Arabidopsis thaliana: one gene and its partners. The protein of the gene in region 1 purifies or fractionates together with the protein of each later gene. This does not show direct contact. Each region holds a gene or a part of one and is shown in the gene's direction. Other genes may lie near its edges. The genes, in order: emb1507, MEE5, AT1G10580 and ESP3.

What was found.
Region 2: the proteins of emb1507 (region 1) and MEE5 fractionate together in Arabidopsis thaliana (co-fractionation; one large-scale study listed by BioGRID). This does not show direct contact.
Region 3: the proteins of emb1507 (region 1) and AT1G10580 purify together in Arabidopsis thaliana (affinity purification with mass spectrometry, with the first as the bait; one study listed by BioGRID). This does not show direct contact.
Region 4: the proteins of emb1507 (region 1) and ESP3 purify together in Arabidopsis thaliana (affinity purification with mass spectrometry, with the first as the bait; one study listed by BioGRID). This does not show direct contact.

The regions. Positions count from the first base shown.
Region 1 is NC_003070.9:7,306,585-7,313,744, reverse strand, and holds the start of emb1507 (U5 small nuclear ribonucleoprotein helicase), read left to right. Parts: upstream 1-3,473; 5' UTR 3,474-3,659; intron 3,660-3,814; 5' UTR 3,815-3,830; coding exon 3,831-6,770; intron 6,771-7,160. UniProt on the Arabidopsis thaliana protein: RNA helicase that plays an essential role in pre-mRNA splicing as component of the U5 snRNP and U4/U6-U5 tri-snRNP complexes. Involved in spliceosome assembly, activation and disassembly.
Region 2 is NC_003070.9:1,896,666-1,906,254, forward strand, and holds MEE5 (Ribosomal protein S5/Elongation factor G/III/V family protein), read left to right. Parts: upstream 1-3,285; 5' UTR 3,286-3,442; intron 3,443-3,567; exon of another isoform or gene 3,568-3,631; 5' UTR 3,632-3,764; intron 3,765-3,846; 5' UTR 3,847-3,858; coding exon 3,859-4,599; intron 4,600-4,685; coding exon 4,686-4,754; intron 4,755-4,858; coding exon 4,859-6,052; intron 6,053-6,163; coding exon 6,164-6,262; intron 6,263-6,375; coding exon 6,376-6,534; intron 6,535-6,650; coding exon 6,651-6,736; intron 6,737-6,820; coding exon 6,821-7,019; intron 7,020-7,097; coding exon 7,098-7,208; intron 7,209-7,299; coding exon 7,300-7,506; intron 7,507-7,819; coding exon 7,820-7,918; 3' UTR 7,919-8,232; downstream 8,233-9,589. Other genes in the region: AT1G06200 (Peptidase S24/S26A/S26B/S26C family protein), read right to left, coding at 116-298; AT1G06210 (ENTH/VHS/GAT family protein), read left to right, coding at 902-1,387, 1,476-1,757, 1,938-2,321; CLE3 (CLAVATA3/ESR-RELATED 3), read left to right, coding at 9,310-9,561. UniProt on the Arabidopsis thaliana protein: Splicing factor involved in pre-mRNA splicing and component of the spliceosome. Essential for reproduction. In female gametophyte, is necessary for the egg cell and central cell fate determination and hence reproductive success.
Region 3 is NC_003070.9:3,489,705-3,496,989, reverse strand, and holds AT1G10580 (Transducin/WD40 repeat-like superfamily protein), read left to right. Parts: upstream 1-3,155; 5' UTR 3,156-3,324; coding exon 3,325-5,039; intron 5,040-5,423; coding exon 5,424-5,430; 3' UTR 5,431-5,732; downstream 5,733-7,285. Other genes in the region: AT1G10585 (basic helix-loop-helix (bHLH) DNA-binding superfamily protein), read left to right, coding at 1,886-2,023, 2,377-2,694, 2,786-2,875; OTS2 (Cysteine proteinases superfamily protein), read right to left, coding at 5,888-5,989, 6,076-6,183, 6,269-6,380, 6,500-6,622, 6,838-6,935, 7,214-7,285.
Region 4 is NC_003070.9:11,745,115-11,752,027, reverse strand, and holds the start of ESP3 (RNA helicase family protein), read left to right. Parts: upstream 1-2,244; 5' UTR 2,245-2,462; intron 2,463-2,736; 5' UTR 2,737-2,741; coding exon 2,742-2,838; intron 2,839-2,924; coding exon 2,925-3,055; intron 3,056-3,212; coding exon 3,213-3,407; intron 3,408-3,509; coding exon 3,510-3,575; intron 3,576-3,717; coding exon 3,718-3,804; intron 3,805-4,137; coding exon 4,138-4,171; intron 4,172-4,293; coding exon 4,294-4,348; intron 4,349-4,650; coding exon 4,651-4,710; intron 4,711-4,801; coding exon 4,802-4,873; intron 4,874-5,101; coding exon 5,102-5,165; intron 5,166-5,264; coding exon 5,265-5,344; intron 5,345-5,474; coding exon 5,475-5,542; intron 5,543-5,650; coding exon 5,651-5,705; intron 5,706-5,851; coding exon 5,852-5,909; intron 5,910-5,995; coding exon 5,996-6,067; intron 6,068-6,246; coding exon 6,247-6,315; intron 6,316-6,632; coding exon 6,633-6,722; intron 6,723-6,913. Other genes in the region: ABCI7 (non-intrinsic ABC protein 6), read left to right, coding at 34-906, 1,319-1,578, 1,643-1,937. UniProt on the Arabidopsis thaliana protein: Involved in pre-mRNA splicing.

The DNA.
Region 1 (7,160 bases):
ACTTCAAGTTCTGTTTATGATTGTCATCATTATTCATTATTACTAATTGCTACTATTTAATGACGTCATTAAACATTAATATCATATCCAAATATACTTTTATCCATGAAGAAAAGGATTTCATCTTTTTATATTTATGAAAGGAGGATTAATAGAACTTTTGTTGAAAATGACAAATCAATTATCTATAAGTTTCAGAAATTTTCTTATTTTGCAAGACTTTCTAATTTTTAAAGTGAAAAGGATAATTTAACTCCGAAGGGAAAATTAAAGGAGCTTCTTAATGATTAAAGTGGTGTTTGAGATAAGAATTAATAATTTTTCAAAATATGTTTAAAAATACTAATATATTGAAAAATTATCATCCATGATTATAGGTAAAAAGATCACATTTTGTAATGGACTTAATAAGATAAATACACGTGGCATCCTTTAATAGGATGAAATGCAGTTTTTGACATCACCATAGCAAGTTGTAGTATTTTAGTTAGATTTTAGCCAACAATATTAATTAACACTAATTCAAAGATTTACCATAATTCGTTATATTATCCGGATCAGGTTGGATCGGGTCGGATAAAGTAGCGCGTGAGAAGGGATGGGCCTTGCTATTACGAAAACGGATATGCGATTTCTGTTCCACATTAGAAAACGACGTTCTCATTCTTAACTCTCTCGTTTCATGAATTATATTGATTGCATATTAACGATGATTATGTAATATCTAACCTCCTAATTTTGGTCTCTTTCATTAAAGCTTTTTATTGGGTGATACAATGAAAATATTTAGTATAATTCAAATACATCAATAAGATTCAATTGTGCTACTACTATAACCGAAAAATAATTTCCCTATAGAAATTTAAATTGCATATTGTAAAGAAGATAGTTATTCTTCATTATTTATTTTTTACTGCCTAACTTGATTAAAATTTACTTTAAATAACTTAACCACAACTAAGCGATTAACGTTCATAAAAAGATACTCATCCTATATTTTCATATTGAAGATGAGAATTTTTCTTTTCCAACCTACTAACTGAAAATGACGTGCTTACTAAAACTCTAATGATATGTCGGTTTCGGTGGTAAGATTCAATAAATACAATACAAGACACACATTATCTAATGGCTCTTTTGTTTTCTTGCCTACATATTATGACATTTATTTAGTTTTCCGCTGTTTGTTTATTTAGATCTACTCCACAATAGTTGACGAAGATATATTATACGCGTAAATAGAATTGAAAAATACGTTAATATACGGAGACGACTTTAATTTGTAGTTGCCATTAGTTTGGTAAGCACTAGATCGACAATAAAGTGAGTAGCTGGTAAAACTAATTAACAATATACCAACTTGAGTTAATTCGTCAAAGAGACAGCTACACAAATAAATCAATCAATAGGCATGAACTAACTGACAATATATGCCGCAACACGAGCTATATATATCCGTCTATGATACATATTTTTCTTTATATCAAGCTTTTCAAATGTATAGGTATAAGAACTCAATTTTATGATTATCGCCTCTACACGTTGTTTTTGTGCTTTTTTTTTTCTACTTTTGTATATATTTGGGTCATGCGTGAAGCGGTGAGAGTACTTTCGGTTGGTGGAATGTCACGATGAGCTTCATCTTTTGACCTTATCAATTCTAGTAGCGGTTCCTGACATGGAAATTCACGTATACATGATACGAAAACTGTTACATTTCGTCACTTTCGTCAATATTTCTACGCATATTATTCATATATGTTATCTATTTTCTTCGTATGTTTCACAAAAAACGTATTTTGGACTTTCTAGGGTTTGTTAAAATCTCTAATAGTTTATTCATAGTATATATGGAAGGAATATTGAGACAATATTACTCGAAATTTTAATTATGCATGGATATATTCAGACCAAAATGTCAATTAGCCTCCGAAATGTATAAAACAAGATAAAGGATTTATAGTGGTCAACCCATTATTGTTATAATAAAGGATTTTGTAGTTAACTATGATACATTGTAACACATTTGAATTTTGTGGCAGACTAGCGATGATTTTCTGAATGACCTTTTTCAAATCAATTGTTACTTGTAAAAATTTGTCATTAACAACCGTAAGTGATAATCGGTAGTTAAATATTCCTTCCATATATACTAATCAAATGCAGCGGTTAAATAATTGATAGGAAAAAAAACAGCATAGGCATTGTTACTTTGTGTTTACACTTTTGAATAAAAAGTATTATTAAGTAAAACAAATAAATAATAAAAAATATTATTAAATCTTGGAATAAAGTACACCAATTTTGTCATAAATAATTAACTCCGGCAAAACTTTAAAGATAATGGAGCCACACTATGTCACATGATCGATGCTCCCTCTAATCCGCAATAGGTGCTTACATGGATGTTTAAACCGAATTTAGGCGGACGAGAGTTCTTAGTTGTTTATATATACGTAATTTGTTTTGTTGTATATGTGCAGTAACAAAAATAACATCGCTTTAAAACAAAAAAAATTGAAGTGGTTTAGCATAATTTTAGATATTAATTAATCTTGGTAAACTCTTAAAAAAACAGTTTTGTTTTAGAATATTAAACAAAAATACATAATTGAATATGATGCTCTTGTTACGTGGATTTCCACACATGGCCTTTTTGGGACATTTTGATTTTCCACGTCTCAATATTTCACACGCCTACTTATGTGATGACTGATGCGTGATTAGTCAATTTTCTGTATTAAATTACTGTTTTGTTTGTTTGTCACCATTCTCTGTATTTCCTTAAAGAGTAAAAGAAAGTAAAAATTTAGTCACCGGTTGAGTTTTTTTCTTTCCAAACAAGAGTTTTAATGATGGAGTGAGTTTTTCTTGTACTTTGTCATGTTGTTATGGTAGTTGATTCTTGTTATATCGATATATAACATGAGAACTCTTTTTAATACAAAACTATAAATTATACGTGTTGCATGTTTGAAAACTATATTATCACTAAGATCAATAGATCTCTTTAGAGATTTGACAAAAATAAACAAAGACATATATATAAATTTTTTGGATATTTTTATGGACTGCCCAGTTTTCACATGATAACACATGAACCTTCGTCTCATATACATGTGCCATCTTTTACTAATCTAAGATTGCATTCAAAGTAATCAGCCTCCATGTCATTGTCACCATTTAAAGTTTTTCCCATTCCTTGTTCATTATTACACACACATTATATTTGTCAGCGATTATTAATGTTGAGGTATTAATATTTTGACAATTTTAATTCTTATAATAAACAAAAACACTTGCATTCATTCTCAAATTAACAAACGCAAAAGAAAGCATGAGACCATTGTCTTATTACGTTGGGCTTAGGAAGTATGTACAGGCCCAGCCCAATCCATGTACAGAGTCGGTTTCGTTATTGGATCCATAGTTTCAAAACGGCATCGTTAAAGTTTTCCACCTTAAGGCGGTATCGCTAGCTTATAGAAAGAATTCGCAGTCGAATAAACGAAGGAGTGTCTCCTTTAGTCATTTAGGTCGATTATTAGGAGATAGAGGACGTGAGAAGGGAGAGATCTGAGTCTCCTACTAGGGTTTCTTCTACTGGATTGATTCGTTGCAGAGAGTGAAGCTAAGAAGAGATTTTCGTAGCTGTTTCTGTAAGTTTTTTTTAATCTCCGTTTCCTCGATTTGGGTGTGGTTTTATTAGGGTTTATCATCTCTGGGAGCTTCTTCGTTTCACTTTTGGTTCGTTTCTTCGATTTGAGGTTAACATTGTGTATTTTTTTTTGTTCCTGTTTGATTTGGTTTCTAGGTTTTCGGATTGGTAGATGGCGAACTTGGGAGGCGGTGCGGAAGCACATGCCAGGTTCAAGCAGTATGAGTACAGAGCCAATTCTAGTCTGGTGTTAACTACTGATAATAGACCTCGGGATACTCATGAGCCTACAGGAGAACCGGAAACTCTGTGGGGGAAAATCGATCCGAGGTCTTTTGGTGACCGTGTTGCTAAGGGAAGGCCTCAGGAGTTGGAGGATAAGCTGAAAAAGTCTAAGAAGAAGGAACGTGATGTTGTAGATGATATGGTAAATATTAGGCAGAGTAAGAGGCGGCGTCTAAGGGAAGAGAGTGTGCTGACTGATACTGATGATGCGGTTTATCAGCCGAAGACTAAGGAGACGAGGGCTGCTTATGAAGCCATGCTTGGTCTTATCCAGAAGCAGTTGGGTGGGCAACCTCCGAGTATTGTTAGTGGTGCAGCGGATGAGATTTTGGCTGTTCTCAAGAATGACGCATTTAGAAACCCTGAGAAAAAGATGGAGATTGAGAAGTTGCTGAACAAGATTGAAAACCATGAGTTTGATCAGCTTGTTTCCATTGGAAAGTTAATCACGGACTTCCAAGAGGGTGGTGATTCTGGTGGTGGTAGAGCTAATGATGATGAAGGGCTTGATGATGATTTGGGCGTGGCTGTTGAATTTGAGGAGAATGAAGAAGATGATGAGGAAAGCGATCCTGATATGGTTGAAGAGGATGATGATGAGGAGGATGATGAGCCTACCAGAACTGGAGGCATGCAGGTTGATGCAGGGATAAATGATGAGGATGCAGGAGATGCCAATGAGGGCACAAATCTTAATGTTCAAGACATTGATGCATATTGGCTCCAGAGAAAGATCTCTCAAGCGTATGAACAGCAGATTGATCCACAACAATGCCAGGTACTCGCAGAAGAGCTACTAAAGATACTCGCTGAAGGGGATGATAGGGTTGTTGAGGACAAGCTGCTTATGCACCTTCAGTACGAAAAATTTAGCCTTGTCAAGTTTCTGCTGCGTAACCGTCTTAAAGTTGTGTGGTGCACTCGTTTGGCTAGGGCAGAAGACCAGGAAGAGAGGAATAGAATCGAGGAGGAGATGAGGGGGTTAGGCCCAGAGTTGACAGCAATTGTGGAGCAGTTGCATGCAACAAGAGCAACAGCGAAAGAGAGGGAGGAGAACCTGCAAAAAAGTATTAACGAGGAAGCCCGGCGTTTGAAGGACGAAACTGGTGGAGATGGAGGCAGAGGCAGGAGAGATGTTGCTGATAGAGATTCAGAGAGTGGGTGGGTGAAGGGTCAGCGTCAGATGCTGGACCTGGAGAGCTTGGCTTTTGACCAAGGTGGTCTTCTGATGGCGAATAAGAAGTGTGACCTCCCCCCTGGCTCTTACAGAAGTCATGGCAAGGGATATGATGAAGTTCATGTGCCTTGGGTTTCTAAAAAGGTTGATAGGAATGAGAAGCTAGTGAAGATTACGGAAATGCCTGATTGGGCGCAACCGGCTTTTAAGGGAATGCAACAGTTGAACAGGGTTCAGAGCAAAGTGTATGACACTGCGCTTTTCAAGGCAGAGAATATTCTTCTTTGTGCTCCAACTGGTGCTGGGAAAACCAATGTTGCTATGCTCACCATACTGCAGCAACTTGAAATGAATAGGAACACAGATGGAACTTATAACCATGGAGATTACAAAATTGTCTATGTTGCACCCATGAAAGCCCTTGTTGCTGAAGTTGTAGGTAATTTGTCTAATCGTCTGAAGGATTATGGAGTTATTGTGAGAGAACTCAGTGGGGATCAGTCCCTAACCGGAAGAGAAATTGAAGAGACTCAGATAATTGTTACAACACCAGAGAAATGGGATATCATCACTAGGAAGTCTGGAGACCGAACTTATACTCAGCTTGTGAGACTTCTTATAATTGATGAAATTCATCTCCTTCATGACAATCGAGGGCCTGTGCTTGAAAGCATTGTTGCTAGGACTCTTAGGCAAATTGAAACCACGAAAGAGAATATTCGTCTGGTTGGTTTATCTGCTACATTGCCAAATTATGAAGACGTGGCCTTATTTTTGCGGGTTGATCTTAAGAAAGGTTTGTTTAAATTTGACCGCAGCTACAGACCCGTGCCTCTCCATCAGCAGTATATTGGAATCAGTGTGAAGAAACCGTTGCAGAGGTTCCAGTTGATGAATGATCTTTGTTATCAGAAAGTATTGGCTGGTGCTGGAAAGCACCAGGTCCTTATTTTTGTTCATTCAAGGAAGGAAACATCAAAAACTGCTAGAGCAATAAGGGACACTGCAATGGCGAACGATACCCTCAGCAGATTCTTGAAGGAAGATAGTGTAACTCGTGACGTTCTCCATAGTCATGAAGACATTGTTAAGAATAGTGACCTAAAAGATATTCTGCCTTACGGTTTTGCAATTCATCATGCTGGGTTATCAAGGGGTGATCGTGAGATTGTTGAGACTCTTTTTTCTCAGGGGCATGTGCAAGTCTTGGTTTCCACAGCAACTCTCGCATGGGGTGTGAATCTGCCTGCACATACCGTAATTATAAAAGGAACCCAGGTGTATAATCCTGAAAAAGGGGCGTGGATGGAGCTGAGTCCTCTAGATGTTATGCAGATGCTTGGTCGTGCTGGAAGACCTCAGTATGATCAACATGGGGAGGGTATAATTATAACTGGCTACAGCGAGCTGCAATATTATCTTTCTTTGATGAATGAGCAACTACCTATTGAAAGCCAGTTTATTTCCAAACTTGCTGATCAGCTTAATGCTGAAATTGTGCTTGGAACCGTTCAGAATGCTAGAGAGGCTTGCCATTGGCTTGGTTACACGTATTTGTATATCCGTATGGTTCGTAATCCAACGTTGTATGGCTTAGCGCCTGATGCCCTTGCAAAAGACGTAGTTTTGGAGGAGAGAAGAGCTGACCTGGTACGGAATTTGTTCATCTGCATAAATTTTGGCTTTTGCTATCTACTGTCACATTATTTTTCTATAGTTAAATGCCCATAAATACTATGCCTAGTATCTGAAGCTTTCATACAGCCTACTATTATGCAGCCTGTGATTAATTGTGCGTATTTTTTATCACTGCTCTGAAAGTTACTTTTATTTGTGTTAATATTCTTAGTGAAGAGTTTGTAACGCTCTTTCATATAGTATCATTGCCCCTAAATATTATGCCTAGCATCAGTAGCTTTGCCTCCGTGATTAACTGTTGGGATCACTTGTGCATCATCATGTACTGTTGGGATCACTTGTGCATCATCATGTTGATTACTAATCTAGTAACAGAAATTTCTTTTTGAGTATTTTGAATGG
Region 2 (9,589 bases), 5.4 Mb from region 1:
ATCAGAAAGTTAAATTTCCATACAACCAGATAAGCAAAAGGTAAGGAACTGAAAGCTTAACACAAGCTGTGCGTCACAGAGTGAAAGAGAGAGAGAGAGAGAGCATTATAAGAACCTTAAGGCTGAGAGTGAGAGAGTACTCGAGCTTGTGAGCCATGTATCGGACATAATTCGTGATGGAAGCCATCGTTGAATGCTTGCGACTTTTAATCGGAAGGGACCTCTTCGCCGCGTCTGTTATCTCAGCCTCGTCGCCGCCGTTGTCGAACTGGTGGTCTTTTATGGGTTCGTCGGTCATAAAAATCTCGTGATTTCCAAAATTGCCAAAAATAGTTCATATCTTTAGGAAATATTCAAATTAGCCTCAAAACTATTCTTTAGTTTTATAATTTTGTCCTATATTAAACAAAATTATCACTTTAACCCCCACCAGGAAGCTTCTGACCAAACTTTCGAGTTAGGCTTTGTCAACATGGCACGTGTTCAACAGTCCTTCTCTTTTTTTTAACTCTCTTAACATTTCCTTCCGACAGATTTGCTTGCAGATTGAAGCTAAAATAATCAAAGACAAATACCAAACACAACAACAAATTTTCCAGACGATTTGAATTTGATCATCTCTAATAAACTTCGTCGCAGGTTTGTTCGCTCCTCTCTTCTTTTTCTAGTGTACTCAAGGATCAGCACATTTGAATTTATAGATCCAATTTATTGTAATTGTTTTCTTCCCTGATCTCTATTCGTTTAGATTTTGGTTGATTGATCTCGATTCGGAGTTTACGGTTGTACTGTTTAGTATTATATAGAACGATGGTGACTCGAAACTGATTCGGAAATCAAATTAGGGTTTTTTTAGGGCTTCGTTAAATTAAGCAAAGTCTGGGAAAATTGTGCAGAGAATATGGACAAATTGAAGATAGCAGAATGGGGAGAGAAGCTGAAGACTGGTGGAGCTCAGATGAGCAGAATGGTGAGTGAGAAAGTGAAAGATATGCTTCAAGCTCCAACCTTGGAATCCAAAATGGTGGATGAAGCTACTTTAGAGACTTTAGAGGAGCCTAATTGGGGAATGAACATGAGGATTTGTGCTCAGATTAACAACGATGAGTTTAACGGCACTGAGATTGTTAGAGCTATCAAGAGGAAGATCTCAGGTAAGAGCCCTGTGAGCCAAAGGCTGAGCCTTGAGCTTTTAGAGGCTTGTGCTATGAATTGCGAGAAGGTTTTCTCTGAAGTTGCTTCTGAGAAAGTTCTTGATGAGATGGTTTGGTTAATCAAGAACGGAGAAGCTGATTCCGAGAACAGAAAGCGAGCTTTTCAGCTTATTAGAGCTTGGGGACAATCCCAAGATCTTACTTATCTTCCTGTTTTCCACCAGACTTATATGGTAAATCTCTCTGAATCTTATTTGCTTATTATGCAAAGATGGAATTGTTCATATGCCTATAATCTCCGGCTTGTCTTTTGTTTCATAGAGCTTGGAAGGCGAAAATGGATTACACGCTCGAGGTGAAGAGAATTCAATGCCGGGACAAAGTTCTCTGGAGTCTCTTATGCAACGGCCTGTTCCAGTGCCTCCACCTGGTAGCTATCCGGTTCCTAATCAAGAACAGGCTCTTGGGGACGATGATGGTCTTGACTATAACTTTGGGAACTTATCGATAAAGGATAAGAAAGAACAGATTGAGATTACACGGAACAGCCTCGAATTGCTCTCTAGCATGTTGAATACTGAAGGAAAGCCAAATCACACAGAGGTAGTTGCTACGTTGTCTGCTCATCTAACTTTTGTCATTTTCCTTAACAAATGTCTATGGAATATGGATTGAGTTATGAGTATCTCCTGGTTTACATTATTGTTTCCTTGGATATATGTGCTTAAAGTGAAATTGACAGGACAGTGATAAGTAATAGGTTTATATATATTATGGTTACAGGACGATCTAACGGTTAGCCTGATGGAGAAATGCAAGCAATCGCAGCCATTGATTCAAATGATCATAGAGAGTACAACAGACGACGAGGGAGTCCTGTTCGAGGCTCTGCATCTGAATGATGAGCTCCAACAAGTTTTATCTAGTTACAAGAAGCCTGATGAAACCGAAAAGAAAGCCTCCATTGTGGAACAAGAATCATCAGGAAGCAAAGATACTGGTCCGAAACCAACAGAACAAGAAGAACAAGAGCCTGTAAAGAAAACGGGTGCTGATGATGACAAAAAACATTCAGAAGCATCAGGATCCTCCAACAAAACCGTCAAAGAAGAGAAGCAGGCCGTGAAAATAGAACTGGGGCTTTCGAGTGATGAAGATGAAAAATAAGCAGTCTGTGTTTGTTGTCTTCTTCCGACATGGATATCAGAATGTTGCGAAGAGTTGTTCTTGATGGTTTACTTTTAAATTATAACAATGTACTTCCATTATAAGTGTGGAACCTTTTTAGCTTCGTTTCTCACTTTCTGTTTTAAAGTGGTTTCTTAGACATTGTTAAACCGTAGGTGAATCTTCACCCGAAACATTTATACGAGGTGTTTTGGTTTGCACTTAGCCTATTGCTTATGTGTTGAGAGGTGAGTATCTACATCTCCTCTGGATTATATAAATGGCTTGATAAAATTCACCTCACTCTCCGATAAACTCGCTCGAAATGATAAAACGAAGTCTAACCTTTAATGTGTTTAATGTGTTTAGTCTTCTCAAGTCAAATAATAATCGGAGTCTTGGTCTCTTGGACGATGCTACACAGGGATATTTCAAAAGTTTACCCTTATCACCAACTAGAGAACCCAAATTAGGTCTTGTACCGATTGTAGAGTATATGTCTATACGATACTTCTCACTGTCTCTTGGACGATGCTTCACAGTGATATTCCAAAAGTTTACCCCTGTCACCAACAAAGCCAAATAAGGGCTTGTACCGATTGAAGAGTATATGATACTTCCCACTACACTTGAGTAAAGAACTGTCTTCATGTAATCATTATAACCATCTTGTTATGCTTACTATCTTCTTCAAATCGCAGCTTTCAATCTAAAATGAACTCCTAAGTGACATACGACTAATTTTGCTTCATCCATCGCAAAACGCAAACATCTTTTAAAACTTTTACTGAATTTTTTCTGCAGTAAACATAGTGAACCCGGTTTACGTTCTGGTTTAGACGTTTCAATTTTTTCTAAATTGGGCCGATTGACATATAATTGGACCCGACCCATCAACATATCCCACATCGTTACAAATAGATTTCAATTACTATAATTTAATCAATATATACCGACTAAAACTCTCTGTCCGACGTAGAGTCTTCCAATCAAAACCTAAATCTAAATTTTTCATTCCCTTGTTCCGGCGATAACAGTCTCAGTGGCGACAAACCCTATTGCCGAGCCAACTCGCATTTTCCTCTAGCTATCGCAACGCCTCTCGCTCTCTCTCCCCACCGGTTCGTCTTCTCACTCCTTAACTTTGTTCAGCTTGTTGATTCTACCCTAGGTTATTGCTCTACTCCAACGCTTCTGCTCGACTCTCGCCTTGTTGTTTTTCTTTAGTCCAACTTAGCATAAGCTTCTGCTCGATTCTCTCCTAGGGTTTTGCTCTAGTCTAATTACCTTAAGTTTCTGGTTGATTCTAGCTTTTTCATGGTGTTCTCTTGGACTTGGTGTTGAGCATTAGAGGAGATTACTCGCCAATGGGTTAAATAAAATATGTTGCAGAATTGCTATAGTAAATAACCCAGATAGATCTATCAAAAGCTTGATTTTGTGGTAATGCACTCATTTGACTTTTTTGCCGTTATTGTTTATCTGCTACAAAATCCTGATTGCTCATGGGATTCTTTTTTGACAGGTTTACATAAAGATGGAAAGTAGCTTGTATGATGAGTTTGGTAACTATGTTGGACCTGAGATTGAGTCTGACAGAGATAGTGATGATGAAGTAGAAGATGAAGATCTCCAAGATAAGCATCTTGAAGAAAATGGTTCCGATGGCGAACAAGGGCCTGGGGGTTCTAATGGCTGGATTACCACTATCAATGATGTTGAGATGGAGAACCAAATTGTTCTTCCTGAGGATAAGAAGTACTACCCTACTGCTGAGGAGGTTTATGGTGAGGATGTTGAGACCTTGGTTATGGATGAAGATGAGCAGCCTCTTGAGCAACCCATTATCAAACCTGTTAGAGATATTAGATTTGAGGTGGGGGTCAAAGATCAAGCAACGTATGTGTCAACACAGTTTCTTATCGGCCTCATGTCTAATCCTGCGCTTGTGAGGAATGTTGCTCTTGTGGGGCATCTACAGCACGGCAAAACTGTCTTCATGGATATGTTGGTAGAGCAGACGCATCATATGTCTACTTTTAATGCTAAAAACGAGAAGCATATGAAATATACAGACACACGAGTCGATGAGCAGGAGAGAAATATATCAATCAAGGCGGTTCCAATGTCTCTTGTCCTTGAGGACAGTAGATCCAAATCATACCTGTGCAATATCATGGATACCCCTGGACATGTCAATTTCTCTGACGAAATGACTGCTTCTTTAAGACTTGCTGATGGTGCTGTTCTGATTGTTGATGCTGCTGAAGGAGTGATGGTAAGTCTTTACTCTCTCTTTTTTGGTCTGTATTTTTAATTTTTTGAAGTATACTATTTGTACTGACGCTAATAATCTTTTTTCAGGTTAACACAGAGAGAGCTATACGGCATGCAATCCAGGACCATCTCCCTATTGTAGTTGTTATCAATAAGGTACTTCATGCTTCAACGTGTAACTTAAGAGATACTGTGTGAAATTTTATATTTCCATACATTTGCTTGACCTTTGCTTTTTGTCAATTTTTTTCCCCCAACAGGTTGACAGGCTCATAACTGAGCTCAAACTACCTCCAAGGGATGCTTACTACAAGCTGAGGCATACAATTGAAGTCATTAATAACCACATATCTGCTGCTTCAACAACTGCTGGAGACTTACCTCTTATAGACCCTGCAGCTGGAAATGTATGTTTTGCCAGTGGTACAGCCGGATGGTCCTTCACATTACAATCTTTTGCTAAAATGTATGCCAAGCTTCATGGTGTGGCCATGGACGTGGATAAGTTTGCATCTCGACTTTGGGGAGATGTATATTATCACTCTGATACTAGGGTATTCAAGAGAAGTCCTCCAGTAGGTGGTGGAGAAAGAGCATTTGTTCAGTTTATTCTGGAGCCCCTATACAAGATATACAGCCAAGTGATAGGTGAACATAAGAAGAGTGTAGAGACCACCCTTGCAGAATTAGGAGTGACTCTGAGTAATAGTGCATATAAGCTGAACGTCAGACCTCTACTTAGGTTAGCCTGTAGTTCAGTGTTTGGTTCGGCATCAGGGTTCACTGATATGTTGGTAAAGCACATTCCTTCACCCAGAGAGGCTGCAGCTAGGAAGGTCGACCATTCATATACCGGAACCAAAGATTCCCCCATTTATGAATCAATGGTAGAATGTGATCCATCTGGACCTCTCATGGTTAATGTGACAAAGTTGTACCCCAAATCAGATACTAGTGTTTTTGATGTGTTTGGAAGAGTTTATAGTGGTAGGCTTCAAACAGGGCAAAGCGTACGTGTACTAGGAGAAGGGTATTCACCTGAGGATGAGGAGGACATGACTATAAAAGAAGTGACGAAGCTATGGATATATCAAGCTAGGTATAGAATACCAGTAAGCAGTGCCCCTCCCGGTTCCTGGGTTTTAATTGAAGGTGTCGATGCATCCATCATGAAAACTGCGACTCTGTGTAATGCAAGCTATGATGAAGATGTCTACATATTCCGGGCTCTCCAATTTAATACCCTCCCAGTAGTCAAGACTGCAACTGAGCCTTTGAATCCTAGTGAGCTGCCTAAAATGGTGGAAGGGCTTAGGAAAATTAGCAAAAGCTATCCCCTTGCGATTACCAAAGTTGAGGAGTCTGGGGAACATACTATTCTAGGCACAGGTGAGTTGTACTTGGATTCAATCATGAAGGACCTCAGGGAGCTCTATTCAGAGGTCGAAGTAAAGGTATCTAATTGTATCTCTAATTTGGCTCTATGACTGTGATTCCGGTGTGCAAGCAAATTGCTGATTTGGCTGTTTGATAGCTAAGATCCTTTTGCTTTCTTAAATTTGTAGGTTGCAGATCCGGTGGTCTCCTTCTGTGAGACAGTGGTTGAATCTTCGTCGATGAAGTGTTTTGCTGAGACACCAAACAAAAAGAACAAAATAACTATGGTAAGAGATCTTCTTTTTCCACTATTATCTCTTATATATTAGACTGCGATGTTTGGTATGGTGCTCAAGCACAATTACTTTGTGAAAAATCTGATATCTGTTTCATGCTAAAGATTGCAGAGCCATTGGATAGAGGACTTGCAGAGGACATTGAGAATGGCGTTGTAAGCATTGACTGGAACAGAAAACAACTTGGTGACTTCTTCAGGACGAAATATGACTGGGATTTACTTGCTGCACGTTCCATCTGGGCTTTTGGCCCTGACAAACAGGTGAAATGCTTGTATTCTTAAAACACTGCAATCTGGGGTTTACTTTATCTTTATTGTTATGGTTGGTTTATGTCTGTTTTGACAATTTCATTGATTGTTGATTTTCGACTGATCAGGGGCCAAACATATTATTGGATGACACCCTTCCAACTGAGGTGGACAGGAACTTGATGATGGCAGTGAAAGACTCCATTGTTCAAGGGTAATCATCTTTCTTCTGTTACACTTTTCTTTTACTCGATTTTGTTGGCTTTAGCTAAGTGGCTTCGTTTTATTCCTCTTGCAGGTTCCAGTGGGGTGCTCGTGAAGGTCCCCTCTGTGATGAGCCCATCAGAAATGTAAAGTTCAAGATTGTTGATGCACGGATAGCACCAGAGCCATTGCATAGAGGATCTGGTCAGATGATTCCAACAGCAAGACGTGTTGCATATTCAGCTTTTCTAATGGCAACTCCAAGGCTAATGGAACCTGTCTACTATGTGGAGGTACATAATCCCTTTCCATTTTTGCTCGTCACATTTTTTCTCTTAAAATGATAACTAAGAGTTATGGTTTTGTCGCAGATACAAACACCAATCGACTGTGTAACTGCAATCTACACAGTTTTGTCACGTAGACGTGGGCATGTCACATCTGATGTTCCTCAACCCGGTACTCCAGCTTATATCGTGAAGGTTAGTTTTGTTTGTGTCTTTTCTCCTTACTTTGTTCCTGTTATTTGACTAAGTGATGATTCATTGAGTATATTCTTTGGTGTTGATGCAGGCCTTTCTGCCTGTGATAGAGTCCTTTGGGTTTGAGACAGATCTGAGGTACCACACTCAGGGACAAGCCTTTTGCCTATCTGTGTTTGATCACTGGGCCATTGTGCCAGGAGACCCTCTAGACAAAGCCATCCAGTTGCGCCCACTTGAGCCCGCTCCTATTCAGCATCTAGCTCGGGAATTCATGGTCAAGACCCGCCGTAGAAAGGTATTATGATTTCCTTTGTTTCAATGCACATCCCAAAACTTAGTGGGTTTCATGCGGTTAAAGATACGAATGAAACCATAAACTGATTTGTTACTCTAGTGTTTGGTTAAATGACCCCAGTAAACCCTCACAAACCAAAGGATCCCCGAAACTACTGTTTACAAACCCGGCCCTTGCTAATTACTCTTTAACCAAGTAACACCAGCTATAATTTGCTGGATACATCCTAGGCTAGTTATATTGTATGACTCGTTGGGTGTTTGGATCATCAGTTTCAGACTCTCACGATATGTATAATTTGTTGGTTATGCAGGGAATGAGCGAAGACGTCAGCGGAAATAAATTCTTTGATGAAGCGATGATGGTAGAGCTTGCCCAGCAAACAGGCGATCTCCATCTGCAGATGATTTGATGATCTCTGCACTTTTTTCATATAAATCGTGATTCAGGACTAGTAGTAGTATCTTCTCTTCTCTATATATGTGAAAGGAGAACAAGAAAATGTGGATCAGTTTTGTAATTGATGTGTCAAATTTACGTTGTAAGTTGAGAGATTTTAATGAACTCAACAGTCCACATGGTCACACTCACACATGACTCGCAAATAGTTGACAGGAAATGTTCACAAATTTTTGTAAAATTGTAAACTACTATTGGATTATGGGAAACTGAACTAGGTTATGACACTATCATTTATAAGATGATCTCATAGTTTGTTGTCTATATGATTAGTAATTATACATATGATACAGAGAACGTACGATCCAGATCCTATTTCCGCAAAGAGTTTTCTGCATAACTAAGATTTGATTCTTCAAAAATGCTAAATTTAAAGATAAACCAGGTCAATGGCACAAACCTATCTAGATATAAGTAAGTTTTTCTTCATAATTTAATTTAGTGCACACAGACGACTTATTTTACTCCAATGAAAATCGGTTAATTCGTCAAACGTCACTACTTGTCTCAAAGATTTGTTGTGCTTTACTATTTTCGTCTATTTCATGCTTCCATAATCAGCTTTTTACGTTGACGTGCTCTTTACAAATCGAAGTGGACGTGGCGGCAACCACTTATACTTATTATACATAGAATAAAGCTACAAAATATATAGTTAAGGCCCTGGTGGATTAATATATACATCGTTTAAGGTTTTAGATTGGTCTCCTCCACCTTATTTTATGTGCATTGCCAACTCTGAAAACGTCATGCCTTATCTTCATTGGTTATATCCATTTGGCTCCATCAACCAAACGACGATAATGATTTTCCACATATCCTATATACATTTGGGTTCGGTAGAATTACTACAATACTCAAATTGCTTTTAATTTATGTTTTAGTTTATGGAATATGAATTGTGAGTTTTTTAAAAAATAATCTCCCAATTAAATATTATTAGCTTTTAAGTTTCTATTTCAAGTGAAATCAGTTAGCTATGCATGTCATTCAATATAGACATAATTTTGTTTTCTTCCATTCGTTTTACAATTTTTAACTAACAGAAATTATACATTACGTCACTTACTACGTTCCCACTAAAAATAGAGGCAAATGCAATCAAGTGATGACGACCTTTCAAAAATAAATATTAAGAGATATATAAGAAGGGACTAGCTAGGTAGATATGACTAGATTCCAACTTAATTAACGTATTTAATTTCTGCATAGATGGACGTTAATTAGGACTTTAGCTTCTCTATAAATACCGTAGCTATTGAGCTTATATATGGAGATCACCCCCTTAAAATCTTCAAAGACTATATATCTCACCTTTAAGAACTAAGAGGAAGTTACATATATATGGCAAGTCTCAAGTTATGGGTTTGTTTGGTCCTGCTTCTAGTACTCGAATTGACATCGGTGCACGAATGTCGACCATTGGTTGCCGAAGAGAGATTTTCTGGTTCAAGTCGTTTGAAAAAGATAAGACGTGAACTTTTTGAGAGGTTAAAAGAGATGAAGGGGAGATCAGAAGGCGAAGAGACGATCCTTGGAAATACTCTTGACTCAAAGCGGCTTAGTCCCGGTGGTCCTGACCCGAGGCATCACTGACACTGACCATAGAAGAATGCAAAAAAAA
Region 3 (7,285 bases), 3.8 Mb from region 1:
GAATGATCAAATGTCTGAATACCATTTCCTCAAGTATATGAACGAAAAAGCCTCTCACATCATCTTCAAAATCTCTTTATTTTCTCTTTTCTTTCTATGCCTAATCTCTATTACGTTTATAGAATCTCATGTTTAAATATAAAATATATTATCTACTTTTATTGTCAAGAACTCTCAAATTTTCTTTCATTGAGCATTTTAAGCTCAAATATTTTATTACAGGCGCCGTCTAAAATAGTCGTAATTGATATTTGCATACATAGAATAGATAGATGTTATGCATCTGATGACTATCTTCAAAACATGTTCAAGGGCATAGGCATTTGGATCCACTTTTGGAGTTTTTCATATTGCGATAGCAAGGACATTCATCTTTGTTTTCTCCTAAAATCACACATGGTTAGATTTTGTATGTGAATATAGTTAACTAAAACTTAAAAAACATGTATATATACACGACATAACTAGTAAACAAATCTTTTTTTCTAAATGTCTTATATAAATTGGACAGTATATATAGATCGATAACAAAAATTTCGCTACAAATTTTCTAACTATAAGTAATCATCCTTTTCTAGCCACAGAATTAGTTACAAGTAATTATAGGCTTAACATTTTAAAATTGGGCTAATCTGTATTTCTAGTCACGGATTTTCAATGGCTATGAATTATGATAGTTACCAAATGACTATTCTCTTCTTGTACGAATTCAAATATTTGAAGAAGGAAAAAAAGAATAACATGTGGAAAATGCAATAAGGATATAATTGTCCCTTACTCAGTTTCTAAGCAAGTGGTCAAGCAGCGAGACGATATATACACAGTGTTAGTATCATATTGCGGCTCCTTTTACTTTTTATGTCAGTTTGCTCAGTGGCAAAGTTATGACCAACATCTACCTGGAGTACTCCAAGACTCAACAAAACTAGGCATGTTTAATTTTCTGTCTTTGTATTCACCTCCGGTGAACGTTTAGACGATCGGTCCATGTAGATCCCCTATCCGGTGAACGATGTCGGCCATACGGCCAAAGAGAGTTGAGGGCCTTTAATAATTTATGTAAGGAATGCCGAATGTGTTGTGTCCTTTTCTTCTATGATAATGATAGCTTGTTGAATAATCTTAGGTTATGGCGCCTTATGATACTTTCCTCGGATAATGAATACGTGCACCAAATTAATTGAACATGATGATACTATTTGATTTAGTGGTCCCGATTCTATCAGTATACAAAACAATTTTCCTTTTCTATTTGTTGATAGAAACATATATAGTACTGTTGTAAGGAATTCATTTTTGTCTACCGTGGCTGTTGACTATTTTACGCCATTGAAATGATTTTTGATAATAATTTTCTCCAAACCTACTGTAAATCACAGGACTTAAACTCATGGTTAGTAATCTGAAAGAAGAAGAATCATATCTCTGAACGTTAGGAATCTCATCTCACACGGTAAGCATGATGCTATCTAAACTATGTCTTTGAACGTTAGAAATCTTACATCGAAATTATGATGCGTCCTAGTAATGTGTCAACCCACCAACAAATCTAATTTTTTTTTTAATGATAAACAACATATCTAATTGTTTTGAAACTTTTGTATCTTTAAGAACGTGGAAATTCCGAAGTAAATAGTAAAATTTACTTGGTAGGAAAGATGCATGCATCTTATTAATTTAGTGTGTAAGCTCACGGACGCAATCACAAAAGCCATGACTTTCTTCCAAAACATCCCTTTCATCTAAATCACGTAGCTCTTTCTCTCAAAGTTGAGATTTGTGACTCTGTATCTCCCGGCCCTCTCTATCTCTTTAACTGTATATAAAGAGAGATGGATTTGAAAAGAGAAACTTGTACATAAAAGCTTAAAAGAAAACAAAAAGAATGGGGAGAGCAAGAGAAATAGGAGAAGGAAACTCATCGTCGTTAAGGGAACAACGAAACCTCAGAGAGAAGGATCGAAGGATGCGCATGAAACATCTCTTCTCTATACTTTCTTCTCATGTTTCTCCCACTCGCAAGGTCCGTTTTTTCTCTCTAACTCTCCCTCTCTCTCTTTCTCTCTCTATATATATCTTATATTAAATTGTAGATGTGTTTTATGCGTATATACAACAATACAAACATTATCTACATAATTACTGTAAGATGTACGTTTTATTCTAAAGAGATAATATTTTGATTAATTGAATAGGCAGTTGTCCCTCTATGACCGTCCATATTAGCTCTCTTTTAAGTACGGTGTCTAATTGACAAATAAATGATTCACGTAGCTAGGGTTTTTACGGTTTATTTATATATATTGAATATAACCACATTCATGTAAAAGATTAATGAAAGTAATTATCTTGGGGTTTTTTTTGGGATCTAAACAGTTACCAGTGCCTCACCTTATAGATCAAGCGACATCATACATGATCCAATTGAAAGAGAATGTAAATTATTTGAAAGAGAAGAAAAGGACATTGTTACAAGGAGAACTCGGGAATCTCTACGAAGGGTCGTTTCTTCTACCCAAACTCAGTATTCGTTCGCGGGATTCGACCATAGAAATGAATCTGATCATGGATCTAAACATGAAAAGAGTAATGTTACACGAGCTTGTGAGTATTTTTGAAGAAGAAGGAGCTCAAGTAATGAGTGCTAATCTTCAGAACTTGAATGATAGGACCACTTACACAATCATAGCCCAGGTACCACATCCACACGCATATGTTTGTATAATACACACGTATATGCATGTGTCATGTCTTTCGTATAAATTTTTATTACATATATTTGCAGGCTATCATTAGTCGGATTGGCATTGATCCATCAAGGATAGAAGAGAGAGTACGGAAAATCATCTATGGATATATATATTTTGAAGCATGAAATCCCAAATGATAAGTCTACGCTAACGCTAGTGTGTTTTTTCACACATGTGTTAGTTCTTTAAATATGAGATGAGTAATTGCTTTTGAGTTCGATTATGATAAATATGTTGACCGTCAACATAAGAAACCTTAAAACGTTGTCGTTTCGTTTTTATTCATCCCGGTTTAATTCAGTTTGGCTTGGCGTGATTTTAGATTGGTCCAGATTTGCATAATTTTAACCACCGAGTAAGACAGTGGGATGTAAATGTCAATAAAATACACTATTGGGGTAAATGTGAAAAGAAAAAAATAGTAAGAGGCTATATTTGAAAATCTAAATATCGCACAAATTGCAACCCTTATTTTAGATTTAGGAATTTTGAAACCCTTGTCGAAGAGAAAAGAGGCAAAATCTCAGTATAAAGTTTCTCAAACACTTGTGGTAAGAGAGCAAAATCGTGAGAGATGGATCTGATTCAATCCTACGAAGAAGAAGACGAAGCCGTTGCTTCCTCGCCGGAATCTTCACCGCCTCGTATGTTAAAGGCGAAATCATCGGCGCCGGAGGTAGACGATACGGCACTAGCTCTCACGGTGGCTAACGTGAATCAATCGAAATCGAAGCCGATTGACCCGACTCAACACGTCGTCTTTTATAACCCTACCCATGATCAGCTGTGGGCTCCGATGTTCGGCCCCGCGCATCCGTATGCGAAAGACGGGATCGCTCAAGGGATGCGGAATCATAAGCTAGGTTCTGTGGAAGATGCTTCGATTGGATCGTTTGGGTTTGAAGAGCAGTACCATACGTTTCATAAGTGCGGTTACGCGGCGGATCCGTCTGGGATGAACTACGTCGGCGATGTTGAGGCGTTTAAGAAGAACGATGGTCTTTCGGTTTTTAATATTCCTCAGAGTGAGCAGAAGCGGAGGAAGATTGAGAGGAGCAAAGAGGAGAGGGAAGGGGAAGAGAAAAAGGAAGAGATTGAGCCGGAAGCTGAGAATCCGGAGACGGAAGCTTGGCTTAGGAAGAATAGGAAGAGTCCGTGGTCGAGGAAGAAGGAGGTGGTTCAGGGAGAGTTGACGGAGGAGCAGAAGAAGTATGCGGAGGATCATGCCAAGAAGAAGGAGGAGAAGGGACAACAAGGTGAAACCAAAGGAGAGCATTATGCGGATAAGAGTACCTTCCATGGCAAAGAGGAGAAAGATTATCAAGGAAGGTCTTGGATTGAGGCTCCTAAAGATGCTAAGGCGAACAATGATCATTGCTACATTCCAAAACGTTTGGTTCATACATGGAGTGGGCACACGAAAGGTGTTTCCGCTATTAGGTTCTTCCCAAAGCAAGGACATTTGCTTCTCTCTGCAGGTATGGATTGTAAGGTTAAGATTTGGGATGTGTATAACTCTGGTAAATGTATGAGGACTTACATGGGTCACGCCAAAGCTGTGAGGGATATTTGCTTCTCCAATGATGGGTCTAAATTCTTGACTGCTGGGTATGATAAGAACATTAAGTATTGGGACACGGAAACTGGCCAAGTTATATCGACTTTCTCCACTGGGAAGATTCCGTATGTGGTTAAGCTGAATCCGGATGATGACAAGCAGAACATTTTGTTGGCTGGTATGAGTGATAAGAAGATTGTGCAGTGGGATATTAATACGGGGGAGGTTACGCAAGAGTATGATCAGCACTTGGGGGCAGTTAATACTATCACATTTGTGGACAATAACAGAAGATTTGTCACGTCGAGCGATGATAAGTCTCTCCGTGTTTGGGAATTTGGGATCCCGGTGGTTATCAAGTATATCAGTGAGCCTCATATGCATTCTATGCCTTCCATTTCTGTTCACCCGAATGGAAACTGGCTTGCTGCACAGAGTTTGGATAACCAGATTCTGATCTACAGTACCCGAGAAAGGTTTCAGCTGAATAAAAAGAAGAGGTTTGCAGGGCACATTGTTGCCGGTTATGCATGCCAAGTTAACTTCTCGCCAGATGGACGGTTTGTAATGTCAGGAGATGGTGAGGGTAAGTGCTGGTTTTGGGACTGGAAGAGCTGCAAAGTGTTTAGGACTCTTAAATGTCACAATGGAGTATGCATTGGAGCCGAGTGGCATCCTCTGGAACAGAGTAAAGTCGCAACTTGTGGTTGGGACGGCTTGATTAAGTACTGGTATGTAACCTTCTTCCAGACTATTTTGTTTATTTGTTTCTCTTGTCATGATGTGTGGTGTGTGCCTTTACGTAACAGCTGCATAATAGTTATTATTGGTATATATAATTGTAGCAAAGCTAAAGTTGTCATCTGAGTATCCTTGCATGTAACATGTGTCTTAATTCTTTTGGAATCAGATATCGTATATTCCTAGTGTATGAGTAATACTTTGAGTTCACATCTGTGGAGTGATTTGGAAAGAAAGTTTGACTTTGATTCTAATGGTTTTTATTCATAAAGAAGTTGCGCAATTGTAAAATCTTTGAAAATTACCAGTCCATGTAACCATGTCGTAATCTCATGGCTAATGTTTGATTGTGATGTTTTGTTGCACATTTGCAGGGACTAAGACAAGCAGAGGCATTTCGGAGAAAGAGAGAGTAGAAGGCACAGAAATCACGGCCTAGCCTGGGCTATACGGAATGCTGCATCTTTGGGATACAAAGCCCCTTTGAGTTTTGCTTTCCGCTGTTTTAGATTCTTTAGTGTTGTATCAATCTCGGTTTAATGGATTATGTAGAGGGACGACCAAAACTATTTCAAATGCTTGAGAGAAACTGTTGACTGAATCGTTATAAAGATAGCTTGTAAGACTTGAAATTTTGCTAAAGCTGTGTTACTTTGCACCATTGCAGCAATGTTGGCTTTTTATTCGGATACGTTATTATTACCTTGTTGATTTGTTCTGATTATGTCATGCTCCTTAGTTTATTACAGGACTTGAACAAAATGATTGTTAACAAAAACGTATCTTTCATTTCATTCCTTAATTAGAGTGACCAAACTTGACACTGTTCTATACAGCTTTAATCTGTTTGGTTACCCTTGCGGAATAGATCAACGAGTATGTTCCAGATTTTGATCCTCAAAGCGGAAGCTTCTTCCGGTTTAAACCACTTCTTGTGAATCTGGAGATGAAGACAATACAACAAGTTCTGTTAACAGCAAATTGTTTAGAATAGATCATAGAAACAAAGATGGAAGAAAAACGCACCATTTTCAAATCCTGCAATGTCAGCCTTTGAGGAGCCTCTTCGATGAAACGTCTTATGAAGAAGAGCAGAAACAGACCACAGTCGAAATCGTTCTTCTGTTGTGGAACCTGAAAAGGTGATGAAATTATTTAGAAGAATACTATAATTTGTCTTCAAACATTATGATTTGCAACTTAAGGTATAAAGACTAGCCTGCACTTCAGCTTCGTTGATCATATTGGGAAGGTCTCTCCATACTTTTGCTGAAATTGGTAAATCCAATGGAGCATCTTGATTTAGATAGTTCCATTCCTCTCTCAGAAATCTGCAACAATAACTTGTAATTAAAACCACAAATAGAATATAGTTAAGATGGTCTTAGACTCTTGACACTGAGAAACTTTATGCAATCAGCATCAATGATACGGATTCCTTGGGTCTCACCTTTTGACATTATTGAAAATCAAATTTCTTGGGTGAAGTCCCAATGAATCCAAGTGAATTATAGTCAATCCCGATTCGTCCTCCTTGTCTGGGATGCAAATTATGACTAAGCTCCAGTGAAGACTGAAACATTCAAGAGGGAAAGAAAACATTAACCAATCTAACAATTGATGCTGAGAACATTTCTCCATTAGAAAGAGCAGACTGAGATGTGATAACTCTGATCTAAGATACCATCTTTTTGCATAATCCTCTAAGCTTAGATGACAAAAATTACTCTTCATGCCAAAAAAATGCATTCATGGGATTCAATAATAAACAGTCAGTAAATTACTTACTCTTCATGTATTGGTATAAATATATATGATTTACAGAATAGATCAAAACCCTTCCACCACCGCCTGAACTTCACAAAATATGCATCCCTGTCATTACCCTAATCATAGTGAAAGGACAAGACAAAGAGACCGAACAACACATGAGTCGCCAGAAGAAAAATAATGTTAAATCACAAGATTCATAAAAGAGGTAGTATTATCATTTTTTTTCTCAATTCTTGTTACAGTTGCAAATGAAATATTTACTCAACCTTCTATAATAGAACAATGAAACATAAAGCATCTTGAGGACTTGAATTTTTTTTAAATGCAAACAAAATATAATGAGCTCTGAGAACTAATAATTATCTTTATAGAAACCAGGGAAAGCAATCACCTTGTATGAAACAGCTTCTGTGAGCTTCTTGTAGAAAAACGTATTGAAGAAATGACAATTAGCAGCAGTCTT
Region 4 (6,913 bases), 4.4 Mb from region 1:
AAGCAAAGAGAGAGAGAAGGAAGGAATCCATTAATGGCGGCTGCCACAGTTCTCGGTCGCTTATCACTGATACCAAATCTATCATCTAAACCAAAATTGAAATCTAACAGAAGAACAACTTCCACAAGTGTTTCTGTTCGTGCACAAGCTTCGTTCTCTGACCCTTTTGTACTTCAATTAGCTGAATCTCTCGAAGATTCTCTCTCAGCTTCTCCTTCTTCTTCTTTACCTCTTCAAAGAATCCGTGATTCTTCCGCTGAGACTCTTTTATCTACGCCATGGCCGTCACGAAAAGACGAACCTTTCCGATTCACCGATACATCTTTAATCCGATCTTCTCAAATCGAACCAATTTCGACCCAGCAACGAAATTCGGAAATTTTGGATAATCTGACGGAAACCCAGTTCACAAACGCTGTGATTATTGATGGGTTCGTGTCGAATTTGACGATTGGTCCATCGGATTTGCCCGATGGGGTTTACTTCGGGAAATATTCTGGTTTACCGGATGAGTTAACGAACCGGATTTCTGAGTTTATCGGGAATTTTGATTCTGGTGATTTGTTTTGGTCGATTAATGGTATGGGAGCACCGGATTTGATGGTGATTTATGTTCCTGAAGGATGTAAGGTCGAGAATCCGATTTATTTGAGGTACTTTTCTGGTGAAACTGGTGACCGGGAATCGAAACGGTTACCGGTATCGAATCCTAGGGTTTTTGTGTTAGTGGAGGAAGGAGGAGAGATTGGTATCGTTGAGGAATTTGTTGGTAAAGATGAAGAAGGGTTTTATTGGACGAATCCTGTTTTGGAAGTTGTTGTTCAAAAGAATGCGAAATTGAAGCATTCTTATTTGCAGAAAGAATCCATGGCTTCTGCTCATATCAAGTGGACTTTTGTCCGACAGGTTCAATCTTTGCTCATTCTCTTATTGTCTTTCCAGTAACTAATTGGCTTGGTATTAGTAGAATTCTTGAATTGTTGAATCAGTAGTTTAGCCTATTACTGTTTGGTAGTACTCTCTCGTGGCTTAGATTAGTGTTGGATGTTTTGATATCAATTTGAGTACGAAAGTAGGAATCTTATTGCTGTCTGAGGAGAGTGTCTTAGTTTAGTTTTGTTGCTGCTGATTGCTGAACTTGGAAAAGTTGTAATCTTTATGATTGAATTGTTGATGAGGATGAATAGTTTAGTTTCAGCCTCATGTGAGTTTTGATTTTGTCTTCTCCTCTTTGTAGTATAAAGGTTTATAGAATAGGATGTTTTGGTATGGCTTCGGAATGTTTTATGCTGAATTGTTCATGTGGTGAACTCTGTAGGAGGCAGAGAGTGAATATGAGCTTGTGGAAGTGAGTACTGGTGGGAAACTTGGGAGGCACAATGTTCATGTGCAGCAGCTTGGGCCTGATACGCTCACAGAGCTAACCACGTTTCATATGTGTGTCAACGAGCAGACTCTTGATCTCCATAGCAAAATTATCTTAGACCATCCACGAGGCGCTTCACGACAGCTTCACAAGTGTATTGTTGCTCATTCCTCTGGTCAAGCTGTTTTCGATGGCAATGTCCGAGTTAACAGGTAAACTTTTCAGTTTGGTTTGGTGTGCTTAGCATCGGTTTAACTTCTGTGTGGTAATATGCAGATTCGCTCAACAGACCAACGCGGGACAACTAACACGGAGCCTCCTTCTGAAACCCCGAGCCACCGTGAACATAAAACCGAATCTTCAGATCATTGCAGATGATGTCAAATGCTCTCATGGAGCTGCTATCAGTGATCTTGAAGAAGACCAGCTCTTCTATTTCCAAGCTCGTGGGATCGACTTGGAGACTGCAAGAAGAGCTCTCATATCGTCTTTTGGATCAGAGGTTATCGAGAAGTTTCCAAATCGGGAAATCAGAGACCAAGCCAGGAATCACGTCAAAGGCTTGCTCTGATGTGTTTCACAGAAACCGATCGTGATACTCACGCGCCGGTTTTGCGCTTACGATTCGTCAATTATCCTTTGTTCATTACTGCTCAAAGGCTTGGGAGGCCCATATAGTCCAGTTTGGCCCATTTAATTAAAAACTAAGAAGAACAACAAACAGTTGGCTTCTATATGAGTTAAATAGCGTGCAGTTTCTCTTTAAATTTGGGAAAAGGTTTCTATTCGCATCTGTATAAGTAAAACGACGCGATGTTTATGGATTTAAGTAAAACTTGAAAACAACACGCTTTTTATTTGAAATCTGATAAAACAACAAACACTTGTTTTTCACCGCCTCCCTTTTCTCCATCGTTGGCCTCCTTCAACGTCGGAGACTCTCACCGCCTTTTCTATCCACCCACTCGGGTGAAATACTTCGATAGACTCCGATATATATATTCGCGCCCACCGGTAGCTTCGAAAACAGAGATCCTCACTCTCGAAATCTTCTCACTCTCGAGAAACCTGAACCCTTAGTTTACCGAAATCTAGGGTTTGTAACTTGTTCCATTAGTTCGATGATTAGGATAATTTGTGTCAGTTTATAAATTAGGTTTTGTTACTTTCGATTTTTCGGAGATATTGCTGCCTACGGTTGATTTGATAGCTATGAGAATTCAAGCTGCGAAGTGAATTTTAAAATTGAGAATCTTGTATAGTTTCACTAATTATTGTTTTGATTCGTATATCAATGAAATAATGTGAAATGGTTAGAGAATGGATTTTGATTTGAAATTCTTGGTGTTGCTTTGTTTATTCAAATACAGTAAGAATGGCGAGCAATGATTTGAAGACTTGGGTTTCGGATAAGCTGATGATGCTACTTGGCTACTCTCAAGCGGCTGTTGTTAACTATCTCATTGCAATGGGTAATTTGATGTTTCGATTTTGGATCATGGAGCTTATGTAAGAACTTTTGCTTGACTGTCCCAAAACTTTAACAAATTGTGTGCAGCTAAAAAAACAAAATCACCAACTGAACTTGTGGGAGAGTTGGTGGATTACGGGTTTTCGTCTTCTGGTGATACTCGTTCGTTTGCAGAAGAAATTTTTGCCAGAGTTCCCCGTAAAACTGCTGGTGTAAATGTGAGTTTGCTGTAAACTTTATCGTTCTTGTGTTTTCTCTTTGAAGCTTTTGGAACGAGATGCTTTTTTAGTTTCTGTTTCTGTGAGAAGTATGTATGGATATGAGCTTAGCTGTAGTTTTGGTTGGTTTTCTTAATTTGGTTTACTTCTCTGTCAGCTCTACCAAAAACATGAAGCAGAGGCAGCAATGCTAGTGAGGAAGCAGAAAACATATGCTCTTTTAGATGCTGATGATGATGAAGACGAAGTTGTTGTGGAGAAAAAATCTTCAGTTTCTGAATCTAGAAAATCAGATAAGGGCAAGAAAAGGTTTAGAAAGAAAAGTGGGCAGTCAGATGAAAGTGATGGCGAGGCATAGTTTCTTTTCCTCATTGACAGATTCCAATTTCTTTCTTTCTTAATGGTAAGTTATAGCTTGGCATCTGATCTGATAAAATGTATAACATAAATGTAGGTGGCCGTTAGAGAGGATAGTAGACACGTTAGAAGAAAGGTTTCTGAAGAGGATGATGGTTCTGAGGTATATCTGGACTCTCAACGCATTTCAACTATTTTCTGATTCCTGGTCTTTGGTTTACTCCAATAACTGGGAGATGTTCTATAGATATATGTGCATTCACGTGTGCTTTTATAATGTTCTTCTTTCTTGTCCACTCGCACAGTCAGAAGAGGAAAGAGTGCGTGACCAAAAGGAGAGAGAAGAACTGGAGCAGCATTTAAAAGATCGTGATACTGCACGGACACGAAAGGTATGCCTCAATCTAATCTTGGTATATTTTTCCTGTTTTGTGCTCTGAATAGGTCGTGTGTTTGTAGCAAACCGGGGGTAAGTATTGTCGGCAATTTATGTACAAGTTATTAATGAATGAGTTTTCTCGTAATTCATAGCAGGCAAATCTAGCTTTGTTTGAGTATGGAAGATGAATTAAGCAAAAATATTCACATTTATTCGTCATCCAATCTTGTATGCTAAGACAAATTCACTAACCAAACAAGAAGTATATAGTTAGCATGGTTTACTTATCAATGTATTGTACATGTGAAAGTCAATGACATGTTATTTTCGTTTGTTTATTGATCAGCTAACAGAGCAAACGTTGTCAAAGAAAGAGAAAGGTACACTCTGTTATAATTTGCGCATGAACATATATGAACATTTCTATGATACATTGTGATCTAGACATAAGTATTTTTTGCCTGATATTCTCATTTTGGTTTTATGTTTTATTGCAAAACAGAAGAGGCTGTTCGAAGAGCAAATGCTTTGGAGAAGGATGATTTATATTCCTTAAGGTAATGAACCTTTTCCTTCTTTATTTGTTTGTGATGATCGCTTTTTAACAGTGATTTTAGGTAATTAAGTTTAGTTACCTAGCATGATTTACAAGAACAGTAGTCAATAATGTACCTGGGTGTTGTATGTTAAAATCCCACCGTTAAAATACTATATGATGTTCCAGTTACCAATTTTTGACTATGTCAATCATCTCCTTGTTAAGTACTCTTGAGGGTGTTCTTACTTGTTGAAATAATCTCTTTGGAGGCTATTTTGTGCTGTCCATGTTATTGATCATCTTTTGGTGGGTCTGATACAGGAAAGTCTCGAGACAAGAATACTTAAAGAAGAGAGAACAAAAGAAACTGGATGAACTAAGGTACATGACATAAAGATTTTTGCAGTTTTCTATCTTTTATGGATCTATCTTCTATAATTGATTTCTCCCATTTTTATTCTTTTCTCCATAGGGATGAGATAGAAGATGAACAATATCTTTTCGGAGGTGAAAAGCTCACAGAAACGGAGCTTCGTGAGTTTAGGTAATTGTTACATCTTTCTTGTATCAAGGTGGTTGTTGCCATTGCCAACATCTATTTGATGCAGCATGCTTCTTTTGATGAGGAATAAACATTTTCAATTGTATATGAATAGTGCATTTTTAAAAAATTTATTTTTGCAATTGAAAAGTTAGATGGTTGTATTCATATTTAAGAAAGTATGTTTAGTTATAGTTGATTGAGCTTGGGTTGATCTGTTATCTTTGATAGGTACAAGAAAGAGCTTTATGACCTCGTGAAGAAAAGAACACAAGATGAAGATAACGTCGAGGAGGTAACGTTTTCATCTTGCTGGACCCTTCTCCCACTTGGTTATGTAGAATATCTATATATCTAACGCCTCTCCCTTTTACTCCTACCTCTCGGAGTTCAGTATAGAATTCCAGATGCTTATGATCAAGAGGGAGGTGTTGATCAGGAGAAGAGGTTTTCTGTTGCTGTTCAACGATACAGGTGAGTCGACAACGAGCGATTTGCTAGTGATCCACCACATTCTTCTCTGCTTGCACTTACAATAGGAATATCTATCTTTCTTATTTTACAAAATTCTTTCGGACGTCCTAAATCATATTTTTTATATTAGGGACCTGGATTCAACAGAGAAAATGAATCCATTCGCAGAGCAAGAAGCTTGGGAGGACCATCAGATTGGTAATTTCTGTTTTAACTCTTTTCTGTTAACCAGTCATTTTTTAACTATCCACTGATTTAAGTGACTTTGTTTACTTGTATGCTAATTTAAATGACATTGTAATGCAGGAAAAGCAACATTAAAATTTGGTGCAAAGAATAAGCAAGCCTCAGACGATTATCAGTAAGATCTGTTGCATATTGTTCTTTTATTCTTATTCTACTGATTTCGAATTTGTTTATCTCGTTTGAGAAATAGTCCTTGCCAGCTCTTAAACATGGATAGTCCCATGATCTGGGGATTCTAAATCTTAAACATGTTTTTCGCAGGTTTGTGTTTGAAGACCAAATAAACTTCATAAAGGAATCTGTCATGGCTGGTGAAAATGTATTATTGCCTATGATGTCTATTAAACCTGATGATACCTTCTTTCATATGTTGAGTTTTAGCTGATTGCTTGTTTTGTACTGCAGTATGAAGATGCTATGGATGCAAAACAAAAATCTCAAGATTTGGCAGAGAAAACAGCTTTAGAGGAACTTCAGGTACTATCCTTTTTCTATTTTTTCTCATTAACTCTGTTTGATCAAACTCAACCACCAGATCTTCTTTTTAGGATGTAATTCAAGATAAGTTAAGCTTGTATGTTTCTTTGAATTTATATCCGTAGCAAAAACTAAAATTTATCTTGACATGTTCTTGCATCTGTTTATTTGTGAATCAGGAAGTCAGAAGAAGTCTGCCGATTTATACGTATCGTGATCAACTGCTTAAGGCTGTGGAAGAGCATCAGGTAATTCAAGCTTTCATGCCATTTTTGATATCATCTAATAACAAACGAGAAGCATACTTCACCAATCCCTATCGAAAACAGTATTTTCCGGTTATAACATTTGAGTATGTGTAACTGATTCAAGATCGATAGAGAAGGAATCATTTTTGAGTAAAGGAACGTATCAAATTTCAGTGTTTTGTACAAATGAAGATTTAGATTGAAATGTTTGATTATGAAATTGTGCATAACGTTTTTGTTTTTCACTATATGGCTTTCTCTGCTACATGCAATTGAAATTTGAAACCTTTTTCTTTCAACTTTTTTTAATATATTAGGTTCTTGTCATTGTGGGAGACACTGGTTCAGGAAAAACGACACAAATACCACAATATCTCCATGAAGCTGGTTACACAAAGCGTGGAAAGGTACAACCTACTGCTTGTCCCAAATTGTAGCATTGAAGTTGAAGTTGCTAACAAATTGGTGGTATTTCTTTAACTAAGAGCTGTTAGCTTGCTGAAAACAAACTTAGCCATTTCTTATTTTCATGTGAAGTTGTTTGTTTTTTCTTCAAAAGCTGTTTTATTAAACGTATACTTGGATTTAGGAAGAAAGC